Sus scrofa: one gene and its partner. Each later gene encodes a partner of the first gene's protein in a complex. Links are inferred from orthologs where the notes say so. Each region holds a gene or a part of one and is shown on either strand. Other genes may lie near its edges. The genes, in order: TAPBPL and major histocompatibility complex class I-related gene protein.

Evidence for each region.
Region 2: the proteins of TAPBPL (region 1) and major histocompatibility complex class I-related gene protein are in contact, whole or in part, in an NMR structure (PDB 7RNO), measured with the Homo sapiens proteins. The link is inferred for Sus scrofa from reciprocal best matches to the Homo sapiens genes TAPBPL and MR1. Residues at the interface, in NP_060479.3 of Homo sapiens: His47, Arg48, Gly49, Ala50, Ala52, Ser53, Ser54, Leu129, Met131, Thr132, Glu133, Thr135, Arg228, Gln230, Lys232, Gly233, Arg234, Gly235, Thr280, Ile282, Gln293, Ile295, Gln297, Arg307, Leu308, Ser309, Ile320, Cys321, Asp322, Leu355; in NP_001372090.1 of Homo sapiens: Arg101, Arg104, His105, Asn107, Thr129, Gly130, Phe131, Leu132, Gln133, Ile143, Phe144, Asn145, Asp147, Thr148, Leu152, Ala153, Val154, His159, Thr160, Lys162, Gln163, Ala164, Ala167, Asn168, Gln169, His170, Thr213, Phe214, Pro215, Asp248.

Annotation. Positions count from the first base shown.
Region 1 is NC_010447.5:64,190,594-64,194,081, reverse strand, and holds part of TAPBPL (tapasin-related protein), read left to right. Parts: intron 1-1,206; coding exon 1,207-1,548; intron 1,549-2,380; coding exon 2,381-2,683; intron 2,684-3,488. UniProt on the Homo sapiens protein: Component of the antigen processing and presentation pathway, which binds to MHC class I coupled with beta2-microglobulin/B2M. Association between TAPBPR and MHC class I occurs in the absence of a functional peptide-loading complex (PLC).
Region 2 is NC_010451.4:122,598,849-122,602,661, reverse strand, and holds part of major histocompatibility complex class I-related gene protein, read right to left. Parts: intron 1,220-3,813; coding exon 959-1,219; intron 278-958; coding exon 2-277; intron 1-1. UniProt on the Homo sapiens protein: Antigen-presenting molecule specialized in displaying microbial pyrimidine-based metabolites to alpha-beta T cell receptors (TCR) on innate-type mucosal-associated invariant T (MAIT) cells.

The DNA of each region.
Region 1 (3,488 bases):
TCACGTCTGTCCAGTGTCAACCATAGTCCTAGCATGGCTAGGTATTGCTCCCTTTCATTTTTGAATATTTCAAACCTACAAAAAAGTGAAAGAATAACATAATACACACCTGTATACCATGCACCTGGATTCCCCAACTGAATCCTCCTTAACATCTTGCCTCATCCCCTCCTCCTCCCTCCCCCTCTTGCCATGTATTTCCCACCTTCTTAACTAATTGAAAGTCAACTGCTGACATAGCTCTACACTTGATCCCAAATGCTTCCATGGATGGCATGTCTTAGTTTATAATCAAAGACAAAAATGTTCTCCATAATCATAAAACCGTCACCTCAGCAGCAGCCCAAGGTGGGGAGCAGTCTACCCGGGGTGCAGGCCATACGAGGGTGCAGTGTGCAGGTAACTTAAAAGCATATTCTCACTGCTCTCCCTGCCCTGGCAATTCTGAACCATCTCAGTGATCGAACATTCCCCCTTGCCAGGGCGTGCTGTCCCCACATCCCCGGCCCCTGATCATTATACTTATGCCTTTGAAAACTGAAAGAATAACACTCTCAAATATAAAGTCCAAATTCCACCTTCTCCAATTGCCCTTGTGTGGTGTCCTATAGCTTTTGGGGGTGCGGTTTGGTTTTTGAACTCCAGGATTCAAACAAGGACTGAGCCTTGCATTTACCTGTCCGGACCCTTCAGCCTCCTTTCCTCTGGAACAGTCTTCAAGACCCAGACGTTTTTGAGGCCAGGCCGTCATCTTGTAGATGTCTCACCATTTGCATTTGTCTGACTGTTTTCCTCATTAGCCTGAGATTCAGCATGTTTGGCTCAAGTACCACCACTGTGTGCTTTTTTAAACTCTGACTCCTTTAGTCTCCTCAGAAGCCTTGCCCCAAGCAGAAGGAGCTTGGCAAACACTGACTAGCTTGCCCAAGGTCAGAGAGCAAGTAAATGGAAGAGCCTGGCTTCAAAAAGCTTTGCCAGCTACTCCAGGAGTCCCTACCTGAGGATCAACAGTAACCCATAATTTTGCATGTGTATTCTTCTTGCACTTCCATCAGACTGTGCAAGAGGTGAGTGACTCCAGAATAGTTAAGTGTACCATGCTGTACCCTGCAACACTGCCTCTCAACCCGCCACAGCATGCCACAGCTGAGATCAGGTGGCCTCGAGGATGGAGAGCCCACAGTCACCCCTCTTTTTCTCCCCCAGTGGAGTTCCAGGTGACAACACAGACCCCGTCCTTGAATCTTCTGCTAGGATCCACAGCTTCCCTGCACTGTGGCTTCTCCATGGCCCCAGGCTTGGACCTCACCAGCGTGGAGTGGCGGCAGCAGCATGGGGGCAGTGGCCATCTGGTGTACAGCTGGACCACCATGGGGCAGGGGCAGGCCCAGCGGGAGGGCGCCACCCTAGACCCTGAGCAACTGCTCATGGCTGGGGACGCCACCCTCACCCTACCCAGCCTCACTGTGAAGGATGAGGGGGCCTACATCTGCCAGATCACAACCTCCCTGTACCAAACTCAACAGATTGTCCAGCTCCATGTCCAAGGTAAGGCCAGGACAGAGTTATCCCTATTGGGGGTGGGGTCAGACACAAGGACTACATTCCCACAGCCCCAATGCCATCTCCGACCTGGACGTGCAGGTGGCATCAGACTGGGTTTCCCATCACACTCTAGGATAATAAATTCCACTGCGACTTTCCCAGCCCAGGACTCTGCTGCCCCACCCTGGCTGGTTGTCTCCAGTCACCCCCGTCCTTTTGGACCACATACTAAGGAGGAGCAGTGGTAGACCAAGGAGGGGCTGGGAGTGGTCCTGACCAGGAGGACTGTTTCAACACCGACAGTCTTCAAAATCACTGGCTTGGGAGTTCCCGTCGTGGCACAGTGGTTAACGAATCCGACTAGGAACCCTGAGGTTGCGGGTTCGGTCCCTGCCCTTGCTCAGCAGGTTAAGGATCCGGCACTGCCGTGAGCTGTGGTGTAGGTTGCAGACGTGGCTCGGATCCCGCGTTGCTGTGGCTCTGGCGCAGGCCGGCGGCTACAGCTCTGATTCGACCCCTAGCCTGGGAACCTCCATATGCTGCGGTAGCGGCCCAAAGAAATGGCAAAAAGACAACAAAAAAAATCACTGGCTTGTAGTGATGCTAAGAAGCAAGCCACCTTTTGGTTGATTTCGCTGCTATGTTTCAGTTCCCTGTCAAAATTATGCCCCTTGTGTCCCACATCCAGGGTGGACCCCTCACCCCCTCCCCAACCCTGGCACCCCACTGAGGAGGGAACTTCAGCCTCCACAAGCTGCTCTCATGCTCAGCAGGAGAGGAAGACTCTAGGCTCCTCTGCTGTCCTGGTGATGCCTCTGTCACTCTTTTCTTCCAGCTGCCCCAAAAGTAAGACTGAGCCTGGTGAATGAAGCTCATTCACATACCCTCATCTGCAGTGTCACTGGCTATTATCCTCTGGATGTGACGGTGACGTGGATCCGGGAGGAGCTGGGCGGAGCCCTGGTTCCAGTCTCCGACGCCTCCTTCTCCAGCCTTCGGCAAAGCGCAGCAGGCACCTACAGCATCTCCTCCTCCTTGACAGCAGATCCTGGCTCTGCGGGTGCCACTTACACCTGCCACATCACCCACATCTCCCTGAAGGATCCCCTTGTGGCCAACACCTGGGTTGCCCCACAAGGTAAGGGAGTGCCCTTCTTTCCCCAGCCCCATACTTGGGTTTGCAGCTCCTGCCCCCTGGCCTTGTTCTGCATCCCATAGTCTCAGCTTCCTCCCCAAGGTGGCTTCCTCCACAGCTCCCACCACACATCCCACTGCAACTTTATTACACCCCAGATTCAAGTGTACCAGGCACTGCTGAGAGCCAGAGACCAGAGCTGAACAAGTCTTCAGCCAGAGAGAGAGACCAGGCAGTCAGGGAAGACGACCTGGGAGGCGGAGGGGATGGGACCTGCGAGCCAGGTGGGCTGGCTCCGGGGGGAGGGAACACTGGGACAGGAGGGACAGCACATGCACAGATGTAATTATAGAGCTACCTAAAAAGAACTGGGGGACCTGCAGGCTAAAGGCAGGGGTGTGTGGGAAGAGGGGAAGGTGGCCAAGAAGCCCGAGGACTGACTGCATTAACTGAGCAGCTATATCAAGCCAGCATCGTCCTGAGCACTCAGCTGTGTGCCCGCCGTCGACATGCCTCCCATTTCAGAGAGGAGTAAACGGCACTTAGAGATGTTCAGCAACTTGCTCGAGGTCACCTGCCTAGTCAGTAATAAAACTGAAAATGTGGGAGTTCCCGTCATGGCGCAGCAGAAACAAATCCAACTAGGAACTCTGAGGTTATGGGTTCCTTCCCTGGCTCACTCAGTGGGTTGAGGATCTGGCATTGCCATGAGCTGTGGTGTAGGTCGCAGACGTAGCTCAGATCTGGCGTGGCCGTGGCTATGGTGCAGGCTGGCAGCTGTAGCTCCGATTTGACCCCTAGCCTGGGA
Region 2 (3,813 bases), on another chromosome or scaffold:
CCTGTCCTTTGTAGGGTATCTTTCCCGTACTCCAGAAATCTCCTTAACCAGGCAACACATTCTTGTTCCAGCCAGTTCTTCTGATACTGTAACTCATGCCAATTGGCCTCCCATGCCTGCTTGGTGATGTGAGCCACATTATCCACAGCCATCCAGGAGAGCGTATCTTTGTTGAAGATAATGAAATCCTGCCCATCATATGCATATTGGAGAAATCCTGTGGTGCTCCCATCCTCCAGCAACTCACAGCCAATCATTCTCTGGTAAGTGTGAAGCCCTGGAACACACATGCAGGCAGGAGGGGACAGAGGTTTACGTGGGGATGTGGAGGTGGGTGCCCAGGTGCTGTGACTGGGGGCCTGGCTGGGAGCCTCCTCTGCCCCACAGGACATCACTGCACAGGCCTGCCATGGCATCACTGAGTCTCCAGGAGGGTCCTGTGACATAAGCCCACCTAACGACAGATACCTGCAGAGTACCCACTGCAGGCCAAGAGAGTATGCTAACCCCTGCCTTGGGCGTTATCCTGTATTGGGAGTGACCAATTGATAAACTTTTTAATACAGTGGAGGGGGCAGAGAGACGCAGGAGCCAGAAATAGCCCTGGGAAAGTTAATGTAGTAAGTAAGCGCTGGGCGCAGGCAAGCACCTGCCTCAGCCTGGCCACCAGGAAAGGAGATGGGCAATGGCCAAATTTAGGATGGGAAAGGAGAAGGTACAGGTCAGCAGCCTGATGGGGATGGGATCGGGATACGGGGCAAAGGGCTCCTGAGGAAGAAACAGACAATTTGGAAGCCGCACAGGACAGATGGCAGGCGCTGAACCCATCAGCCAGATTGCCCAGGCTTTGCCAAAAGAATGCAGCTCAGCAACTGCTCACACTCGCCATCAGCCCAGGGGCCTCTCTACCGGGATGGGGGCTGGAGATGGAAAGCATTCACTCCACTGCCTTCACCACCTGAGTGATTGTAGTGACGCTGCAGCTGCTTCAGTTCCGCCTTGAACGTCTGCTGCCAGCCCCGCAGCAGCTGCGTATACCTCTCCCAGTGATCGGGCTCCAGGTTCTCCGCCATCCACGGGGCCCGCGGCTCCTTCTGCCGAGAGACACTGTCATACGTGGTGATGGGGTAAGAATCCACGTACCCAACTGAAATAAATTCAGGCATCTCATGGCCAGGATCCGAAATGCCCAGGCGAAAATATCTCAGAGAGTGAGTCCCTGGAGGGAGGCAAAGAAGGTGGATAGTGAGAGTCACAGCGGATCCGGAGCCATGAGCTGCATTCCACTGAACCCCCATGCGGGGCTTCCATGTTCCGCTGCACCCGTTCTCCTGGGGACCCAGTTCCTCTTCCAGAAATCACAGAACCCCAGGTACTGGGTCCCGGATAGGACTTGAGAGCTTTAGCCAAGACCTGGAGTCTGTTCTGTTCAGGTTTGGAAATCTTAGGATGAAATTTTACAGGTAACTCAACTTGTAAGTGAAGTAAATATTCTGGGCAGTGGGGAAAGGGGCCCCCAGGAGAGCTGTCCCCCAGGGACCCTGAGGGTTTGAAAACTCTGATAACCTAACCCCTTTGTTTCACCACAGAGGCTCCAGGTAGAAGAATAAGGGCCCCACCTCATCACTGTGCACACACGTGTAGGTGTGTACACACACACACACACACACCAGGTGAATCTGCTTGACGGACCCCCAGTGAGAATCCACATCAAGCCTCCTGAGAAAAATTTTTAAAAAGCATAGTGTTTTTGCTGTTATACCAAACCAACACTCTCGACCATTTTTCTATTCTTTCTCTACTTTTTCTTCTGGCCAAACATCACCCTAAGAATTGTAATCATCACTAAGGGTCAAAAGTAGGCTAAAATGAAACAAAACTGGCACTCCCCGCCACTTCTGCCCTGAACTTCTCTAGGCTCAACCAAGAAGCCCCCGGTCTGGTGGAGACGGCAAAGCAGTTTCAAAGTCGTGGGAAGAGTGTCACGATGGGGGTCAGCATGGGGCGTTGGTGCTCAGGAAAGACTTTCCAGAGAAGATATGTCTTGGGGAGGTTCTGGGACGGATAGGAGGTGAGCAGGTCCTGAAGCTGGGAAGGGACATGGGAGCAGAGCAGAAACCACGTGTGCCGCAGCAGGGAGGAGAGCATGAGCTGTGGGAACCGATGGCCTAGGAGCCCTGGAGCGCAGTGAGCACCACAGGGGAGACTGGGAGACAGGAGGCCTAAGTGGTAAGCAGAGCCCAGGCTGGAGGGCAGGGGCCCCCACACCATGCAAAGACCTGGCAGGGGAGGGCAGGCAGCACCGTGGCTTCCTCCCCCACCCTGCTCGCTATTGGCTGGAAATGCGCATCTCTGAGCCTCTTGTCTTGCTTCGTCCTGCCATCCTGACCCATCTAAATCCTCCTCAGTCATCAAAACCCATCTCTTGAACACTCCCAGAACCAGCTCTGACGTTTGCATGGCTGAGTCAAGAGGACAAAGGAGGCCCACATTCCAGAGGGCCAAATATTTAAAAGGAATAAATCAAGCTAATAACCTGTTTAACATTTGACAAATAGCCCTTCCTGTGACCTCAAAAGGCCAAGTTCACATTGAAAAATTTCAAACTTTGGGGTGGCACAGAACAAGCTGGCCTCCATTCTCCAGCCCCCAGCCCTTGGCCTAGGAACCATTGCCTTCTCTACCTACCCCAGCTCCACCAAGCCCTGCCAAAGGCCTTGTACCCATATGCAGGCACCCCTGCTTGCTCATTTAGGTTTCAGCCGCAATCACTGCCTCTTTGCCACCTCTTGAGCCTGGCAGAGGCTCAGGCAGGATAGTCCATCCTTAGGAGGGACCAAAGGAAGAGGCCTATGTAAACCCAAGCAGCCCCGAGTCATCTGGGCAGCGAACTGCAGGTCCCAGATACCTGCGGGTGGTACAGACATGGGGTGAGCACCTCCCCTTGGCCTCAGGGACTCTTGGCTCTGTGGGAAAGGATGTGGCTGGGGAGTGCCAGAGCAGGCCCCTCTAAAGGGTAGTATCCTGTCCACGGCTTCCCTTGCCTGTGTCCAAGAGCTGGGTTAGACACCACTCCTCCCAGTTTCTTCCAGGCGGCCTATCCCGCTGCTCTCGCTCCCTTCATGAGTTCCTGCAGCACGTGAATCTTCAGGCGTGACCCTCGTCACTGTGGAGAAACTCGGATGGGTGTCAGACTCCCATCCCTTGTGCTGATCGTCCACTCAATGATGATCACGCCTTCCTCTTCACTTATAAATATGTATTTACTTTAAAGATATATTTCATTTAAAAAAATGGTTCACAAAATGGCTGGGCCAGCTTTTGTGCATGCAAGTCTGTCTGTAATTTCCTTTTTTTTCTAGAACTCCCTCGTGACTCAGGGGGTTAAGGATCCAGCATTGTCCCTGCTGTGGCTCTGGTTATAGCTGTGGCACAGGTTTGATCCCTGGCCTGGGAACTTTCATGTGCTGTGGGTGCAGCCAAAACAAAAAACAAAAAACTTGTCATAAGAGGCAGGCTAAAGAATGGGGAGCAGAGCTGAAATCTAATTTATATCTGGTCTGGAGTCTGCAAAAGTTGTATATGCTTGAATCTGTGACTGATTTTGCAAATGGTTCTATTCCTTCACATCAAAAGGTTTGCGGCTCCTTAGCAGATAAATGCAGCTATTTAAAGATGGAGGCAAAAGGAAAAGCAAGTCGTGAACATTAGTTCTTAAACTTGCTTAGTATCCGTCTGCGTATTCTACAAATTTGAGTGCCTCCTGTGTGCCAGGCGCTATTCCAGGCCCTCCCTAAGTACACCATAGACAAA